Linked DNA regions of Drosophila melanogaster. The protein of the gene in region 3 purifies or fractionates together with the protein of the main gene of each other region. This does not show direct contact. Each region holds a gene or a part of one and is shown on either strand. Other genes may lie near its edges.

Evidence for each region. Proteins that work in one complex are often made in the same cells at the same time.
Region 1: the proteins of az2 (region 3) and Sk2 purify together in Drosophila melanogaster (affinity purification with mass spectrometry, with the first as the bait; one large-scale study listed by BioGRID). This does not show direct contact.
Region 2: the proteins of az2 (region 3) and CG1513 purify together in Drosophila melanogaster (affinity purification with mass spectrometry, with the first as the bait; one large-scale study listed by BioGRID). This does not show direct contact.

The regions. Positions count from the first base shown.
Region 1 is NT_037436.4:3,045,407-3,050,659, forward strand, and holds Sk2 (sphingosine kinase 2), read left to right. Parts: upstream 1-1,680; 5' UTR 1,681-1,783; coding exon 1,784-2,760; intron 2,761-3,239; coding exon 3,240-4,248; 3' UTR 4,249-4,753; downstream 4,754-5,253. Other genes in the region: scramb2 (scramblase 2), read right to left, coding at 317-810, 1,231-1,345; CG32485 (uncharacterized protein), read left to right, coding at 5,133-5,253.
Region 2 is NT_033778.4:9,888,690-9,893,568, forward strand, and holds the start of CG1513 (uncharacterized protein), read right to left. Parts: upstream 3,001-4,879; 5' UTR 2,714-3,000; coding exon 2,546-2,713; intron 2,453-2,545; exon of another isoform or gene 2,391-2,452; coding exon of another isoform or gene 2,056-2,390; intron 1,998-2,055; coding exon of another isoform or gene 1,751-1,997; intron 1,692-1,750; coding exon of another isoform or gene 1,598-1,691; intron 1,472-1,597; coding exon of another isoform or gene 1,363-1,471; intron 1,307-1,362; coding exon of another isoform or gene 1,291-1,306; exon of another isoform or gene 1,189-1,290; intron 1,047-1,188; coding exon 918-1,046; intron 797-917; exon of another isoform or gene 436-796; coding exon 199-435; exon of another isoform or gene 126-198; coding exon 48-125; exon of another isoform or gene 33-47; coding exon of another isoform or gene 1-32. Other genes in the region: CG12923 (uncharacterized protein), read left to right, coding at 1-32; CG30008 (uncharacterized protein), read left to right, coding at 1,291-1,306, 1,363-1,471, 1,598-1,691, 1,751-1,997, 2,056-2,390; tea (telomere ends associated), read left to right, coding at 3,420-3,844, 3,899-4,213, 4,267-4,879.
Region 3 is NT_033778.4:7,508,108-7,516,090, forward strand, and holds az2 (az2), read right to left. Parts: upstream 4,643-7,983; 5' UTR 4,589-4,642; coding exon 4,163-4,588; intron 4,097-4,162; coding exon 3,734-4,096; intron 3,678-3,733; coding exon 2,685-3,677; 3' UTR 2,515-2,684; downstream 1-2,514. Other genes in the region: mEFTu2 (mitochondrial translation elongation factor Tu 2), read right to left, coding at 514-713, 768-1,533, 1,600-2,004; CG1603 (uncharacterized protein), read right to left, coding at 6,220-7,056, 7,113-7,475, 7,536-7,799, 7,861-7,983.

The DNA.
Region 1 (5,253 bases), on a different chromosome or scaffold from region 3:
ATACAATTGAAAATTTAAAACTAGTGTGGGTGCTATTAATTTGAACGCTTCTGTCTGTTCATAATTATTTAGAATATATGTATATAGGCACTTATAAATGTTTAATAATTAAAAAAGCAATTAAGTGGACGCCTGATACTGTTCATTTTGGAATTTTATAAAGCTTCGTCTTTGACTGATGAAGACCATACATATGTACTCCTCCGAAGAATTTAAAGCTAATCCGCTGACCGCTGCTGTGTGTGTATACACTTGTTTGGGCATTGGGAATCGAGATCGAGAGCCAAGAATAACCACTTGTTGGCTGCGTACTGACCTTGAAGTTGGTATCGCTGAAGCACTTGCAGGGACAGACGGGTCCCTCGATCTGCAGGACGGTATCGCCGCATGTGTTCTTGATGTTGAACTTGGGCCGCATGAAGGTGCAGACCTGCTCAACGCTACCGATCACCTGGCCGGGTGGCGCCGACACCTCCACGGCGTTCATGCAGCTGGGAAAGCAGCAGAGGATGTCGCACTTGAAGGGCCGGTACAGGTGGAGCACCTCGTTCTGAAAATTGTCCAGTATCTTCATCTCGAAGGGGCGCGACCGGCCGAGCATGTTGCGGGTGCAGCAGTCGCTCTCCTCGTACGCGAAGTACACATTCTGGCCCAGTGAGTTCTTCACCTTGAAGCGGTTCTTCGTCTCGAAGCCGGTGAGCAGCTCCAGTTTCTCGATCTTCTGCGACACGAGCAACTGGTCCAGAGCGGTCAGGTATTCCAGTCCCTGCGGGCAGTTGGGCATGCCCACGGGTATCGACATCCAGTTTTCTGCAATGGGGCGTTGTTCCGGATTAGCTCCCTATGTATTTATATTTATCTATATGCATAAAGTGCTTTTCCGATATCTATGCATGGGTAAAGGAAATTAGCATAGCTACAATGGCGGTCAGGCGATTAGGGCCAGTGATAGCAGTTCTTAACATAAACTAATATTTTAAACAATATGTATTTACGTATTGACTTGGAATCACTTCACTTTTTGGTACATTATAAAATATCTTTTTTACATAGATAACTATGGGTGCTATTGCCATGCCCGCTGCTGTACTAAATGCCAAGAAAGAGACGACGGCATTTCCGCCTTTCGCACACGCCCACTAGCCCACACAGACGCGCGCAACCGACTAGGTCCATCCGAGTGATGGAATTCAACAGTGGACAAATCCATATATGTCCATCGCTACGCACCAGGTCCGTTGGCATTGTTGCCAACATTCGCCGCCTGCGGCTGCAGGACCACTGCGCCATTCTCGTCCTGCGGTGCATTCTGCGGGAGCACCTTGTACTCGCTCATCTGCATCATTGTTATTCCCAGCAATTAAATTCGTATCGGATTCTTTAACAGTTCACAAAACACTAAATGCAGGGTGACCGCGTTGCGAACGCCGAAAAATGCAACGCAAATGCACCGTACGAAATATTCTGTCATATATTTTGGTATTTATTCGAACACAGAAAAATATCAACAAAAAGCTTTCAGCACTCAATGCAGTGACAAGTTAAATTTGTTATGAGCTGACGTTTTTGTGGATTCATTTGTATTATTGCATTGTATTGCAATAGTTTCCTTAAGCTAGCCTCTTTAAGTTCTAAGAATTTTGAGTTTATTTGTGCCAGTTGGTATATTCGCGCCTGCCACCGACGGTAACACTGCGGCTATGATTGGATGATAAGCGATCCATAAAAGCCTGGACACAAAAGACCTGAAACATGCTGCTTGGCAGCCGAATCTCCAGTCGAAATGAGCGAATCTCTTGATAAGACCACCAGCCCGAGCTCGGCCAGTTCCAGGGCCACGCCCCCGGGAACGCAGGATGCGGATGAGGGCCACGACGTGAGCGATACCTTCTACACGAGCCAGCGCAAGAAGGGCAGCCACGTATTTCGGGTGCGCCTTGACGCCACAGGATTCACCCTGCAGCGGGAGTCGCCGGGCGGTAGCATTGTTAAGGAGCAACATGTCCGCATATCGGACATTGTGGGTGCCCGCTGCATGCGGCCCAAGAAGAGCCGGCGCCTGGCGATGTCGGGCGCCTGTGCGTGCAGCTCCGGTAATCCCAATTCGCCAGCCATCTCGGCGTCCGGCGATCACCATCGCCCTGCCACCACACCAAGCAAATGCAGCACCAATAGTCGGGATAATATTCCTTCGGATGGCGGCGATGTCAGCGCGTTTCTCTACGTTTTTGCCTATGTTCTGAAGAAGAGGAGCCTGCGGTCGGAGTTGCACCGGGAGCGAACGGTGCTCACTCTGCGCTTCCGGTCGTTCGACACCTTCGAGGACAACATGAGGGAGGCGGATCGTTGGTACAGATCCCTTCGCTGGCAGTTGCATCGCACGCTGGAGGAGATCTTTGTGGCGCCGACGGTGGATGAGCGACGCCGTCGAGTGCTTGTGCTGTTGAATCCCAAATCCGGTTCCGGTGACGCTCGTGAGGTCTTCAACATGCACGTGACGCCGGTGCTCAACGAGGCCGAGGTGCCCTACGACCTGTATGTAACCAAGCATTCCAACTTTGCCATCGAGTTCTTGAGCACCAGGTGCCTGGACGCCTGGTGCTGCGTGGTGGCTGTCGGCGGAGACGGTCTCTTCCACGAGATAGTCAATGGACTGCTGCAGCGCCAGGACTGGGCCCACGTCCTGCCTCATCTGGCACTGGGAATCATTCCTTGCGGCTCCGGAAATGGATTGGCCCGCTCCATTGCCCATTGTTACAAGTATGTTATCTTTGTTTCATGTTTCATTAGGAAAAACCCCCTTTTGACTTATGTGGATCTTCATATTTCGTGTAAAACAATCCCTCCAGCGTCTAGCCATGCAGTTTATCATTAGATTACATTCATAAGCAAAAGTAGTTTTCTTATCGTGTCAAATGGTTTTGTTGTTTTGCAAGTGGGGATATCCCCTTAAAGTTAAATTGACGTCAGACTAGAACAAACTTTCCACATCGTTAAGTAATTGCCCCCCAATTTCGTTCAACATTTAGTGGCATATCATCGAACTTTGAAATCTTTATGTTCTTTCTTTATGTTCATCTATAGCTCAACTTCCCGATAAAAGAGTATAAAAAGGGTAATAGAAAAGAATGTTTATAGACTTTAAAACCACATTCAGGTGTCTCATATCCGATCTATTGGTCGTAATCCGATTATCAGTCTTGTGTTGAAACCTATTCACTTGAAACCTTTCTCCCCAGCGAACCATACTTCAGCAAGCCAGTGCTAGGAGCTGCTCTGACCGTAATCAGTGGACGCAGTTCACCCATGGACGTGGTCCGGGTGCAGCTGCAGAGTCGCTCCCTCTACTCCTTCCTGTCCATCGGCTGGGGTCTGATCTCGGACGTGGACATCGAGAGCGAGCGCATTCGCATGTTGGGCTACCAGCGCTTCACCGTGTGGACCCTCTACCGTCTGGTGAATCTGCGCACCTACAACGGCCGAATCAGCTATCTTCTGACGGACCATGAGGTGTCCTCAACCCATAGCGCTACCGGTTATGCTGCCCAGCGGAGAATGCAGAGCAGCCGTAGCTGCAACACGCACATCGACATGCTAAATGGGCCGGCGCCCATCTATCATTCCAGTGCCGAGTACCTGCCACAGGAGTTTGCGGACGTGATCTCCCTGGAGACGTCCATCAATCAGTCGTTCCGCTCGAGGTGCGACAGCTGGTTGTCGGGGGGATCGCGGCGCAGCTTTTACTATTCCATATCGGAGAGCATCTACCACAGTCTGGCGGATGAGAGCGAGTTCGCCGGCCTGGCGGCCGCCTCGCTGGAAAACCGGCAGCAGAACTACGGTCCGGCAAGCGAGCTGCCGGATCTGAACGAACCGCTGTCCGAGGATCAGGGTTGGCTGGTGGAGGAGGGCGAGTTCGTCATGATGCACGCCGTTTACCAGACCCATCTGGGCATCGACTGTCATTTTGCGCCCAAGGCCCAGCTGAACGACGGCACCATCTACCTGATCCTCATACGCGCCGGCATCAGCCGCCCGCACCTGCTGAGCTTCCTCTACAACATGAGCTCCGGCACTCACCTGCCGGAGTCGCACGACGACCATGTGAAGGTGCTGCCAGTGCGAGCATTCCGCCTGGAGCCCTACGACAATCACGGCATCATCACGGTCGACGGCGAGCGCGTCGAGTTCGGGCCCCTCCAAGCTGAGGTCCTGCCGGGCATAGCCCGCGTCATGGTGCCCAAGTAGGAGGAGCTTACTGAAGACCATCAAGCAATAGAAATCTCAATTTTGGAATCTCTGCATTTGTAGCTAATACTTAGGGTCCCAGGTGGCCGATATGAGAGAGTTGTGCATTCTACATATTTCGTGTTTTTGTGGCCTGCTTCTGCCAACCAATCATGTATTGTTAACATTTTAAACACAATAACAGCTATTTCCGAAATATCTAACATGTTTGTTTATAAAACGTGTGCCATATGAAGTGCACGTGAATTTATTTTTATCTCGGCTGTTCAAAATAGCGATGAAAGTCTTATTTATTTTGTTCTTTTTTTTTTTAAACTGTGTAACGAAATGAGATATATATTCAAAATGTTTAAAGATGAATACAAATAAATCTTCATGAATTCAAAAATCTTAGAAAGTAACAGTGTAAGTAACAGAGCTAAATCATTTACAATTCCATATTTTAAAGTAGGAAGTTAAGAATATAACATCTTTGAGCTTGAAATAAAAAATAAAAATGTTAACTAATTTCAGCTCTGTTTCAATTTGTTTTCTTCTCTTTACTATATAGTTTAAAATATTTTTCAAAATTTATTATCAATTAAAGCTTTTATTAAAATGTAACGGTTCCAACCAATAACGGTAATTTTTCGGTATTTCGTGCTTGCATTTAGTATTGTTGTGGAACGCAAATGACAGCTTTTAGAGAGTTTCAGCCGGTCACACTGGTCGAAAAAAAAGAAAAAAACAAATCCGTTCCGTTTGTGAAAAAACATTTCCGAGTAAAAATAAACAGCGCTGCTTGCATTTCACATAGTGTCAGCACATTCCGATTCCAGTCCGCGACTCTCCAGCACGGAATCCCAGTCTGCATTCCGGTCAGGAAGCGATTCGTGCTCTACAATATGTCGTCCGAGGAGCTGGCGCCAATTAACGAGCAGGACTTCAAGGATCTCAAGGAGCGCATGAAATTGATTGTGGAGGCGGATCCAAAGCAGTATCACAATGACTTTTCGCTGCGTCGCT
Region 2 (4,879 bases), 2.4 Mb from region 3:
TTGTAGTTACTGAGTCCGAGGGAAACGTGTAACCTCTGCTTACTTACATTTGCGTTGTCCTGGAGTGCCTTGCACTTAGACTGCTCCGCCGGATCGGTCAGCTCCGCGATGCGTTTGTCCAGTAACTGGGCAGGACAGAGAACAAGAAAAAATGACAATAAATTGCATAATGCCTGCATTACGTGGCACAATACTCACGTTCGTTTGCTCAATCATCAGCTGGAGGTAGGCATCTGCCTCGGAAACACGGCGCGCCACCAACTCCAGGTGGTTGGGTCTTCTGCCGCCTGTTCCGCTCCCGCCCCCTTCCTTCGTGTAGCCACCGGCGATGTAGAAAGCGCTTTGGCTGTCCCACAGACGCGACCGGTTCGCGTGGCGTCGAATGGTGTCCTCCAGGCGGCGCACCCACTGCTCCCGCTCCTCGTTGTGTCGCGCCTGCAAGCGTTTGGAAAGTTGGCAAGTTTAGTGGGCTCCTTTGCTTGTGTATGGGTATTGGAAAAAGTTTTATCGTTACATCAAGGCAACAAAGTCAAACAAAAGGTGGAACGTGAGGACCAGACAGTGGTTTCTGGGTCGATGCCCGGATACCCTTTTCCGGTAAGAGGACGAAAACTCTTGGCAAGCAAAGCGGATAGGCCATCATGCTTGCTTTATATCTTTTGGGACGAAAACGCGAATTGCAAAAAGAAACGTGCTGCCCTCTTGATCTACATAGTTTTTGCTTACGTATACCACTAGACGTCATAAAAAATCAATGCAAGTGTGGAATTTAAAATGAGTTGGTTCTTCAGTTCATAAAACAAACAACGTCGTACTTAAACTATTACGGTGAATTATGAACTATTAGTGAAACTGCAAAACATTGATCAAGCTTTCCTTAGACAATCTTTATTTCCATTTACTAAGGAGACACTTACCTGAAAGTGGAAGGTCTTATGGTCCACAGTGATTGTGAATGTGTTGTCCTCCTGGTCGTCGATTCCGATTAGCGCATCCTTTAAACGAACACAACCGCGCCTCACGCCCTTTATCATCTTATCCTTCGACTGTAACAGAAATGCAGTCGGAATTAGGAAAGTTCATTAAATCGCAGCTCATACTGTCAAAGGGCTATTACGCCTGCTATAAATTAATGTATTCTAATCAATGCTTGGGGAATATAAAAACAGTGTTCGGCGTGCTGTTCACGCTTAAATGTTCGCCAGCGGTCAAGGCGGTAGAGCTGCAGTCCACCAGTCCCACGCCACCTAAAGGATACAGGCCAGCGGAAGCTCAACACAAAGAAGCGAAATGGAGGCGTCAGCAAGTGAGCTCCTCTTGGATTTGTCAAAAAACTGTCTGATGGTTTCAATAAAATTGTAGGTATAAATTTGCAGCCGGTGGTGAACGTTCCTACGATTTATAAGGATCCCTGGTACATGATCACAGTGCTGGTCCTCTATCTGTACTTCGTCACCAAAGCGGGTCCGCAGTAAGTTCACATGCTAATGTCAGCGTCGCTTGTTTGCATGTGGGTCAGTGGACTTGACATTAGCAATTCAGCGGGTTCGCTGGCTTACTTATATAAGAAAGAAGACCTTTAATACCTCGCTTATAGTTTCATGGAATGGCGCAAACCTTACGAGCTCAAGCGACTTATCTTGCTACATAATTTCATCCAGGTGGTTTCCTGCATATATGCTATCAAAGAGGTGGATATTTATAAATTGTACAGCAGCAGCAGCATCGGCTAATTGCTTTTCTCTCGCAGGTCCTGTACATTACGGACAACACCATATACATCTTTTGGAAGTGCCGCGACATCGGGAGCAGCCCAGAGCTCGTGAGGCGGTACTACAACTTGGCCTACTTTCTCTTCTGGCTGAAGATCTCTGAGCTGATTGAAACCGTGATCTTTGTGCTTCGCAAGAAACAAAACCAGGTGTCCAAGCTGCACATCTTTCATCACTTCTCCACGGTAACGCTGGTCTACGCACTGATCAACTTCAACGAAAATGGTAAGCTAGCCGGCTGCTGGGTGACCGACTATTTTCATAAATGCGTTCAATTGTACAGGTTCTGCTGCTTACTTCTGCGTGTTCTTGAATTCTATCGTTCACGTTATCATGTACTCGTACTACTTTGTGGCGGCAGTGGCGGATAAGACCTTGGTGCAGGCCCTAACTCCAGTGAAGAAGTGCATCACAGTGATTCAGATGACGCAGTTCGTTCTTATCCTCACGCAGGTTGCTTTCCAGCTGGTATTGTGCGGCATGCCGCCCTTAGTGCTTCTCTACTTCACCACCGTCATTCTTGGCATGTTCTACGGCTTTTACGACTTCTATAATAGTGCCTATCAAGCCTCGCAGCGGCGCAAGAGTCAGACCCCTCAGTCAGACTCAAAAAAGTAATCTCCTGTCAACAAATCACGCAATAAAGGGGTACCAACAAGTGTGTATGTGTATCCAAATGTATCTATAGCAGATAAGATAAGGCTGCGGGCCATGAGGAGTTCGTTCTGGGTGCGATATGGGTTTCAGTCAGGAGGTGCACTGCAGCCACTCACCGTGTAATAGGACAGCAGTCCAGCATTCTCGTCCAGAACGAAGAAGCGGTACTGCCAGCCCTTCATCACATTCGTCCACTTGCTTAGCGTGCCCTCCAATGTGCCAGAGCCACCACTCCCGCTCTGGGGGGGTCCCAGGCTGGGGGCACTTCCAGTGGTGCTGGCCATTTGATCCAGCTCCCGTGACACGGCCACCGCCTCCTCCTCCGCCTTTGATCCCTCTGCGTCCTCGTGGCTAAAGGCTTTCCTTGTCCCCGGGCGCGGACCTGCCTCGTTCCCTGAGCTCTTTTCTGTCCAGGAGCTGATGATGACGCAATGTTGCTTCACAACTCGCACCCGCAATCTGTCACAGCCTCAACTCCGCTTGGAATTTGCAAAACAAAGCAAAGCCCTGCCAACTATCGATGTACGTAAACATCGATGATTTTCTAGCCCTCCGAATCGCAGCTCGAGTGTGACCGTGCGGCGACCGCTGGAATATACCACCTACTATACCTAGCACACCTTACAAATTTGGAGTCATTTGGAAAATCATAACATGTAAAATTAGCTAGCTATGAAATTATAACCCTGTTTAAATCAGCACAATAAATAAATAAACAATAAACAATAAAGCACAAAAGTATTAACTGGCTTGTAAAATTTTAAGTAAGTTCGAGTTCTCGTAGTGAAAATATTTAGTCGTTCGCTATCGATAAATATTGTCATTTTGCAGCACAGTCACACTGTGATATTCAGCCTAGTTTATTTCGCGGTATTGAAATGTGATGTTTATGATAAACAACAAATAACGTTACTTGCATAGAACAAGTCGTAAGGTTACTGTGAATCTTTTACATCTTAACATTAAATATTGTTTGATTTCAGGAGCAACATGTATCCAGTGTCCTTTGCGGCATTTCAAAAGTTAATCGTTAATTTGTCTGAAATTGCAAGTGAGTTGAAAACTGCCAATGGAGACAATAGAACGTTGGTCGAGTGGAGCAGATGGTACTACAAAGAGTTCTACCGGAATCCCAGCATACGGGCAAGGTTCCCTGTCAAGGTGGCGCCGTGTCCCAGGCGGACACGCGACAACTTGCTTAAAGTACCGGAGCCAGGAGGAATTTCACAAAACGATGTTGCAAACGTAGCAGCTGCAGGACCATCTCAAGTAGAGCAACCCGAAGTCTTAGTTGAAGGCAGCCAGTTGACGACGCTCGCTGAAACCGCGAAGTCCCATGATGCAGTTGAAGGCGTTGCAGTTGAATGTAAACCATCAGGATCGGAATCTCCAGACGTAATTGTTAATGTGGAGAGGTGGGTAATATTATTTTCGAGCAGAGCAGATTAACCAATTTTGACTCATTTCAGATGTGGCGCCTTCATCTTTCCGGTATCCTTTGATGTATTCCTACAGTGCATCAATAAGATGTTACTGTTCAAAAAAATTGTCAGGAGCATAGAACACTGCCTGGTCCTCTTGTCCGACGATGAGCGTCGTCTTCTTACACTACAAAGGTTCTACAACCGCTTTTACATGTATCCAGAAAAGCGATCCCCTACGAATATCTTCAATGCAACTACAGAAATCCCTTTGGAAAAGTTGCTTGAATCTGGGAAACCACTGGACAAAAAAGCGGTCAAGACTGTGGCGGAGCTTACTGCAATGAAATCCCTTACGAAAAAGTAAGTTTGGGACACTTTCCAAATACTCGTTGTTTACTATAAATATTTCACAGTTCCATCGTCAGCTTCGAGGTATTTAAGAAAAATATGGCAAACTTATCGGACATTGTGGAGCAAATGAGGCAACTGGATGCTAATTATGCGAGCAAGGATGTCCAGGAATGTGCCCTTGACTATTACCTGGCGTTTTACATTACTCCGAGGATCCGATATAAATACGCATACAAATTAAAACCTTGCACGTCGACTTTCAAGGCCTGCATGCTGTCCATTCTCGGCAAAGATATTGCCGAAAAGCTTAGGAAAAGCCTCCCTCAGTTAGCTAATCCCTCGCCAGGACTTGATTCGCGCAGGCCCAACACTTCATATATTACTGAGAGCAAAGGGTCATTAGGGTCGCAGAATACCAGTGGCTCTTCACAAATCCAAACCAGTCCCAGCATGGAGGTTGCCCACGAACCGAGTGAAGGTCTGTCCCAGTTAGCTACTCTTTCGCCAGAGAATTGTGCTGCGGGAGCTATTAGCACGACTGAAGGGCTATCGAGTTCACATAATACTTTAGAAACTTTCGAAAACCAAGCTAATCTCAGGAACGATGCCAACAAACTAAGCAGATGTATGCCGGCATTAGCTTCGCCAGAACGCCATCTGCACAGTTCGAAAGCC
Region 3 (7,983 bases):
TACCCGTCCCGAGATGCCAAGTGTTTTTTTTTGTTGTACGAACTATTTGTAGCAAAAGTAATGGAAGGTTAAGAACCAACCTTAATATGTGAAACGCAATAAATGCTTGGAGTTAGACTCTGACCATAAGAAATCATTTCTTGCCTAAACCTTGTACCTTAAATCATAACTAAATATTTATATACAATGATTGTACTTAACCAGGCTGATTTGTTGCCTTAAAGAACGTGTAAAGCCTACAGATGATAGAGTAAGACTCATAGAGCTCACCGATGATGCATTGCTGTTGCATTCCATCTATTTATGTATTCTCATTTTCTGCGTAGCTTGTAACTCGTTAGTTGGGTTTCTTAGATATGTCGTTAGACTATGCAAGCCTAAACTACGTTGGCATTTGTTTGAAACATTCTAAGCAGATTACCTAAACACATACAAATATTATATATTAGAAAGAAAGTACTCGTGTGTAATGAACAGCAATTTATGAATTTTTACAAATACAATCTCGAGTCGTTAACAATCCACGAAGACTTTTGATAACTTGTTCTTGGGCAGGTCAAGGGACGGCAGGCGCTGCGTCACCATACCGGTAGCCACCGTCGCTCCGTTCTCGCGAATTGTGAAGGCTTGGCCCGGAGTCATGACCATTTTCCGCAGCAGCGTGACGCGCACCTGGCCATGCTCACCCGGCATAAGCATAGCCTCACTTGGAACTGCAATGGGATTTGCTCAATGCTTTGTGGACAGCATTGAAGTTTTTAACTTACCTATGTCAATTCTAGCTGGAACATTCCACGTCTGGCTGAAGAGCTGCTGTATATACTTGGAGAGCATGGGCTTGACACGACCACCCTCGGCCCGCGATAGCAGATACATGGAGCCTTCAAAGTGGTTGGATATATCCTCGGAGCCGGTTGCGCACAGTAGCATTCCCCGCTCCACGGCGGATATCTTAATACCTCGCAGCAGTGCGCCGACGTTCTCGCCAGCCTGTGCCTGAGGCACGCTCTTCCGGAATATCTGGATGTCGCTGATGCTTGTCTTCAGGTTCTGATTGAAGCCCAGTAGGTCTGCATCCGCGTTCCGGGGAATGGTGCCCCTTTTGATGGTTCCCACGACCACGGTTCCCCTTCCGGGTACCGTAAAAGCATTGTCTATTGGCAGGATAAATGGGGACGAGATATCGCGCTGCGGCGTTGGTATGTAAGAGTCGCATTGCTCAAGTAGCTTTTCAATTGACGGAACCCCGAACTCCGATTTATCTTCGCGAAGGGCCAGCAGCGCTGAGCCACAAATTACCGGGCTATTCACGCCATCAAAGCCGAAATCACTTAGCATCTCACGCATCTCGATCTCGACCAGTTCCAGCACCTCCTGGTCCACCAAATCGGCCTTGTTTATAAACACTATGATGCGCTGGATGCCCACTTGTTTTGCCAGAAGAAGGTGCTCGCGAGTCTGGGGCATTTGACCATCGGTGGCAGCCACCACTAGAATGGCGCCATCCATTTGGGAGGCGCCCGAGATCATGTTCTGTAGATCAGATAGAAAGTTTCGTTAAATTGGTGGAACATTGGTTGGTTCTTTTGGCTGAGCTACCTTTATGTAGTCCGCATGACCCGGGCAATCCGTGTGAGCGTAGGTGCGTTCTGTAGTGGAATACCCAATATGGCAAGCATTTATAGTTATGCCACGCGCCTTCTCCTCGGGCGCCCGATCAATCTGGTCGTAGGACAGGTACTCCGCCAGACCCTTCTGTGACTGGATTCTGGTAATGGCGGCGGTCAGGGTCGTTTTACCATGGTCAACGTGACCAATGGTGCCCACATTGCAGTGGGGCAGCTCCCGCAGCCCCGGGGCCGGATTTTTATCCGCACTGGTGGCCAGGAGACGGGTCCCTGTCCACCGGCTCTGACTGGCGCCGGGTCCAATCAGTGCCTGGCTGATACGGCGCACTAGCCCCGCTTCACATTGGCGCCACAACTTCGGAAGGAGTCCGCTCATTTCTCCTCTCCAGGTCTGTAATCTTGGTGCAGAGCACGTAACACCGAGCACGTCGCGGAAAACCAAAACACGAACAGCTGTTGGCCAGTGCTGCACAGCGCAAGAATAGGTGAGCTGATAACTTCGAAAATTTTGATTACCCGAAGTTAATGAAATAAATATAAAAAAATGCTATAAATTCTAACATTTGACATAGTAGGACAAATTTCTCTAACGGCAGACAAAGGAACCTCTGCTGGCTAGCAGGCAAAATGTACTCCTGATATGCTCAATTGCTACGCCAATAGAACCCAAAATTAGATATAAAAATAAGTATTATTACACCTTCAATTTCAAAATTCAGTGCTTTTTTGTGTTTTCAAGTTACTATATCACAAAGGCATACAAATGCATAGTGCTCAGTGTAGTCTTTATTAAGAAAATTCAGATGGATTATCTAAAAATCGAACAATTCAAATATGTCGAATAATAGAATAGAATAATAGAAATCATTTTAAACATTTTTGTTTTCATTTTTGCAAGCTTGGACAAATATATTGTAAAATCTCTTGTTTCAATACTAAAAAATATTTAGGAGTAATAATACATTAAGAACATTAAAAAATTCATGTTTTTTGGCACTATAGCCATATTTTCTGGTTATTAACAAATGTAAATACTTGTCATGGTTTGGAAATGTCTCAAGGCTGAGGGAATGTCTTTGTAAAGAGTGCGTCGCTTGACGACAGAGAGCTCTTGAGGATCTTGTGGGTGCGTCGCATGTGGACGCCAAGACTAACTCGCTCCGAGAAGCGCGTCGTGCAGAGCGAACATTGCAGGGTCTTCTCCTTGTGGATGTGGCGATGCTTGACTAAGGCGTTGGCATTGGTGAAGGCCTTCTGACAGACCTCGCAGACCTTGTCGCGGATGTTCAGGTGCGCCTTTACGTGGTCCTTGAGGTCGCGCTTGGTCAGGAAGTCCTTGGGGCACATGTCGCACTTGAAGGCTCGGATCTTGGTGTGAACCGCAGTTACGTGCGTTGTCATTTGGATTTTTTGCTTAAAACACTTGCCGCAGAACTCGCAGACAAATGGCTTGGCGACGTGCTTCTCGTCATGGGTGCGTTTGTGGATAGCCAGTTGATTTCCAAAGGCAAAGCTCCTGCTGCAGATCTCGCAGACAAAGCTCTTGTCCATGTGCACACGCTGGCTGTGCTGCTGCAGGTGACACTTTCGGTCGAAGTTCAGCTCGCAAAGCGTGCAGCGAAACCAGCCTCCATCGCCCATCTTATGATCCCGGAACTGATGTGCTTGCAGGGCGTGATCTGTGCTAAAGGAGTGCTCGCAGACTTCACATTTAAGCTTCTGTCGGAATGATTTAGTGGGCATAAAGCTATTGCAGCGCTCGATGTACTGCTTCTCGGCCAGCGAGAGACCCACACATTGGACGTCTGTGAGGGTTTTGATCCGTCGCGAATACCATTGGCGCATGCTCTGAATACTGTCGTAGACATCGTAGTGGGTGACCAGGCCCAACGAAAACTCCGAAGTCAGCAGGTCAGTGATCTCTATGAGCGATGACTTTCGTACGTTTAGATTGCAGAAGTGCTTGTGCGCGGGATCGTACAGTTGGGGAAACTTGGAGTACAAATCAATGAACTGTGTGGTCAGTTGATTCTCCTCTGTGAACACCAGCTGTCGTGGGGAACGCATTAGAGTGGCTTAGAAAGCTGTTTGTCACTCGGACTCACCTTTATTTTGCCATCGCCGTCGACATCATCGCTGTCCGCATCCTCCAGACTACCGCGCTCTGCCAGAAAGCTGTACTTTCCATGGTAGTACAGTGGAACCTTGGTTAGTTTCTGAGTTTTCTTCTGCCGCGAGATCGACGCATACTGCGCGTGTAGGCTGGTGATGCACTTCTTCAGCTTATAGGCCGTTAGGTGAAGATTGACGGTCGCCTTTAATTGCTCCAGCAACTCCTCATAGGCATTTGCGCGTTTCTCCTTGTCCCTGTACGACTCATCCGCTGGATCCCAGAGGCATGTCTGCTGCTTATACAGTTCAATGAACTGTGTGATCCGAGGACTGCGTCGGTAAAACGTAGGATTGAACTGCCGGGATGCAAAACGTCTGCTTTAATTTGTTGGTTTTTGTTGCTGGTGTAGTCAGTTGCTTACTTTGGTTAAAGGAGCAAAGTGTGTGGAGTTTCTGGTGCCCAATTCGCAGTCAACTGTCATCGAGGAGGAGTCCACCTCGTCGTCTTCTTCCTCCTCCTCCTCCACCGGGCTGGTGCTCTCGTCGTTCTCTGATGAAGGTGGCACGTCAACGAACATGTCTTCAGCCAGGCAATTTTCCGGAGGCTCCTCCACTATGAACACCTTGGCTGGCGAGACCTCCTCCTCGCATTTGGCTGACGAAATGACTTCGGAAGTAGTGAGCTCTTGCTGCATGCTTGGATTTGCTTCCAGGTGCTCCTTGACGTGCACGATGAACTCTCGCCACCGCTTGAACTCCATCTCCACGTAGCAGTCATTTTGGTGAGCACACGCCAGAACAAAGTGCTCGAAGTTGTTCCTGGCCAAAATGTTCCCGCAAACCACCATGATTTGCTTACAAACAAATAAGATACAATGCCAAATAGCACAACAACAACGCCATTTATCGGTATCGATAAGCACCGGATGGTCAGTGTTGGGAAGATACCCGCGGAAATTCCATTGAAACGAAATCATCTCAATTTTAGAAAATATTTTATATGTAGACAAATAATTATATATACTATACAGCTTAAATTTAAATCTTGCTATAACATGAGTATTAGTTGTGTTAAATCAACTTTTAAATCAATTATAAATTTTTAAATATATTTTAAACTATTTCATTTTAAGCTGGAATAAAAACACTACTTTTAGTTGACTGATTCTGGTACTTATTCCCATTCGGAACAAGAGTCGAATTCCCCGACAATCAAATACTCCTTACTTAGCCAGTGGAAATACAAGTAGTTCATACGGACAGACGGACAGGGACAGACCGACTCGGCTATTGGTCCTTATCGAGAATATATATACTTAATATTGTCGGAAACGTTTCCTTCTGCATGTTACACACCTTTCATCGAATATATTGTAGTATACACTTTTTTTAAAGACACTAGAATATTAAGGTGCGTAACGGCCATTACATTGGTTTTCAACTATGCAGTTACTTTTTTGGTGACGGCCAAAATTGATCTCACTCCGCACGCGTAAAATGGAGAGCGTAAATTTCTTAAAATAGAATGTACTTCCTTGTGTGTGTTAAAACAACAAACGAGAAAGTGTATATGAGCATACTTGTGCTAGAAAACTTTCGTCTCGAAATCAATTTTGATCTCAGAAACGAAGGTACATACATACATATTTAAAGTTTTGGTCAAAGCTTGTTGCAATACGATCTACTACAGAGTTATTTAAAATTTAATGCCTTGACTATTCTTTTAAGAAGAGTTGTTATTAATTAAATACCGCTTATTTATTTTTGCTTATAATTAAAAATATTTAAAATTGCACTGACGACATACTTCAACAAGGGTCTATGAGCAGTATCTTGTACCGTATAAAAATTATTTTCATCATTATTTAAGCTAATAAACTAAATAAAGTCTTAAATCGTTATTATAACTATTGTAATTAAAAATATAAATTTGGCAAAAAGGAAAATACATTTAAAAAAATATATTTCATAAAAGAAATATAAATACATTGTTAAAAATGAATATATATAAAATTTTGTACACGTCATTTGATCAAAAATAATAATAATAGAGCTGCTAGCTCTAGAGCTCTCCGCTCTCTGACTTTTGAACAAAAACTCGGGAGAGCCTCAAGCCAGCTCTAGATCTAGAGCCAGAACCAAAAAATCATATGTTATTCTAATATCTCCTCTACAAGTAACGGTTATACAAATTTATCTTAAAACGAACTTATTTTTCCGGCTTCTTCTTTTTTTTATGAATAATACATTCCTTAAACCAAATTTTGAAAAGGAAAGTATGAAAAAGGAAAAGCTTGTGCATATGATTATCATACACATGTTCTTATCAAATACACAAAAGCCGTAAGTGCTTAACAACACGCTTGTTATTATCACTACTCTAACGTAAGTTTATTCTTGATTTACATCAAATGAAGCTTACTGATTCTCGTTATCAAAAAATAAAGCAGTTTCTAAAAATGTCCCTCAAGGCGAGAGTTCATTCCGATCTGTGGCTGCGGCGATGTCTGGAAAGCGAAGAATGGTCATAGAACGTAGCATCACAGTACTCGCACTTCTTATCACGGATATTCAGATGTCCTTTGATATGGTTGGCCAGCTCGAACTTCTTGCGGAAGGTTTTGGTGCACATATTGCAGCTGTAGGGTCTAATGTTCAGGTGAACTCCGTTGACGTGGTGGTCCAGGAGTAGCTTGAGCCGGAATGTCTTGCCGCAGATGTCACAGACGTGAGGCCGCTCGCCCGTGTGGATTAGTGTGTGCACCTTTAGGTCGGTATCCACGGCGAACGATTTTTCGCAGTACTGGCACTTCAACTTGCGTTCGAAGTGGGAACGCAGCTTGTGACGGTCCATGTCTACGTGGCGGTCGAAGCGCCTCGGGCAGAACGAGCAGAGGTACGGTAGGTCGCCCACCTCGTGCGCCTTGACGATGTGCACCCGTAGGTTGTAGTCGCCGTGGAAACGTTTATCGCAGTAGTCACAGTACAGCACCTGACTTTCGGAACCCTTGGCGGGCAAGAAGCTGCACATTTGCAGATACTGAACCTCTTGCTTGCTGCACTTCTGAATTAGTTCCTTGGATTTGAGGCGACGAATGGCATCGTAAAGCCAACGGCGCAGCTTGTTGACCGCAATGTAAACGTCCGTTTCGTTGGCCTTCACCACTGGCTGGAATTCCTTTGCCATTCTTTTGAAGGCATCTGCACGTATCTCTATTGAGCCAAAGTCTGGCAACGCTTGATTATACAGCACGGGATAGTTGGCATAGGTCTCTATGAATGAGGTGGTTATCAGGTTTTCCTCCTTAAAATTAAGCTGAAAAAAGGATTTTTGGTCAGAAAAGAGCTACATTATAGTGGGCTAGTTATTACCTTAATTGCAGTCAAGTCGTTGTCCTCCTCGTTCTCCCTTGGCGTTACAACAGGCGCCACACTGAGGAACTCGCACTTGGCAAAGTAACGCGCTGCAAGTCCAACAAGCTTTCCCCTTTGTTTTGTCTCCAAAGCCAGCGTGTACTGCACGTGCAGTTGCTCGAGCGTTTTCTTCAGTTCTTCCACGGTGAAGAGAACATTGGCCTTGCGGTCCATGCGTTCCATTATCGCCTCGTAGGCCATGCTTCGTGCAGGCTCGTCCTGGTAGTGTTCATCGGAAGGGTTCCACAGGCAGGGATGCTCTTTGTACGCTTGGATCAAATGCAGCACACGGGGATTGCTCCGAATAAACGAAACTTTGAACTGAATGACGCCGTTAAGTGGAATGAATTTCAGCTTAAGTGAAATATACTACGTACTAACCTTGAAAACCTGTCCTGGTCTTGTTCGCCTGGGCGGACGTCCAGGTTTTCTAGGAGGTGCCAAGTCATCCTCAGACATAAAGAAGTCACTACAATCAACATCATCATCGTCTGTGTTTAGGGGTATGTGATTTTGGGAAGACTCGTCCATTTGTGTGACTTCCTTTCCGGCTGGAAGTTCCAAAGAGCTGCCGCCTGGACCGAACTCCCAGGAATTGTTTGTAGCTGCAGACCAAGCGGTGGCGTCTTCCTCGTACTGGATATCCTGCGGTCAACGAGAGCTCACTTATTTGACCACCCTTGGTAAGCGAGTGAAAGAGTCTTACCTTGCTATCAGCTTCCATCCATTGATCGACCCCATTGCTGTTTTCGATCACCTCGAAGAACTCATCCGGCCCATAGGCGATGGCTGGGTCCGCCGCGTCAACGACGCTGTATAGCTCCTCGGT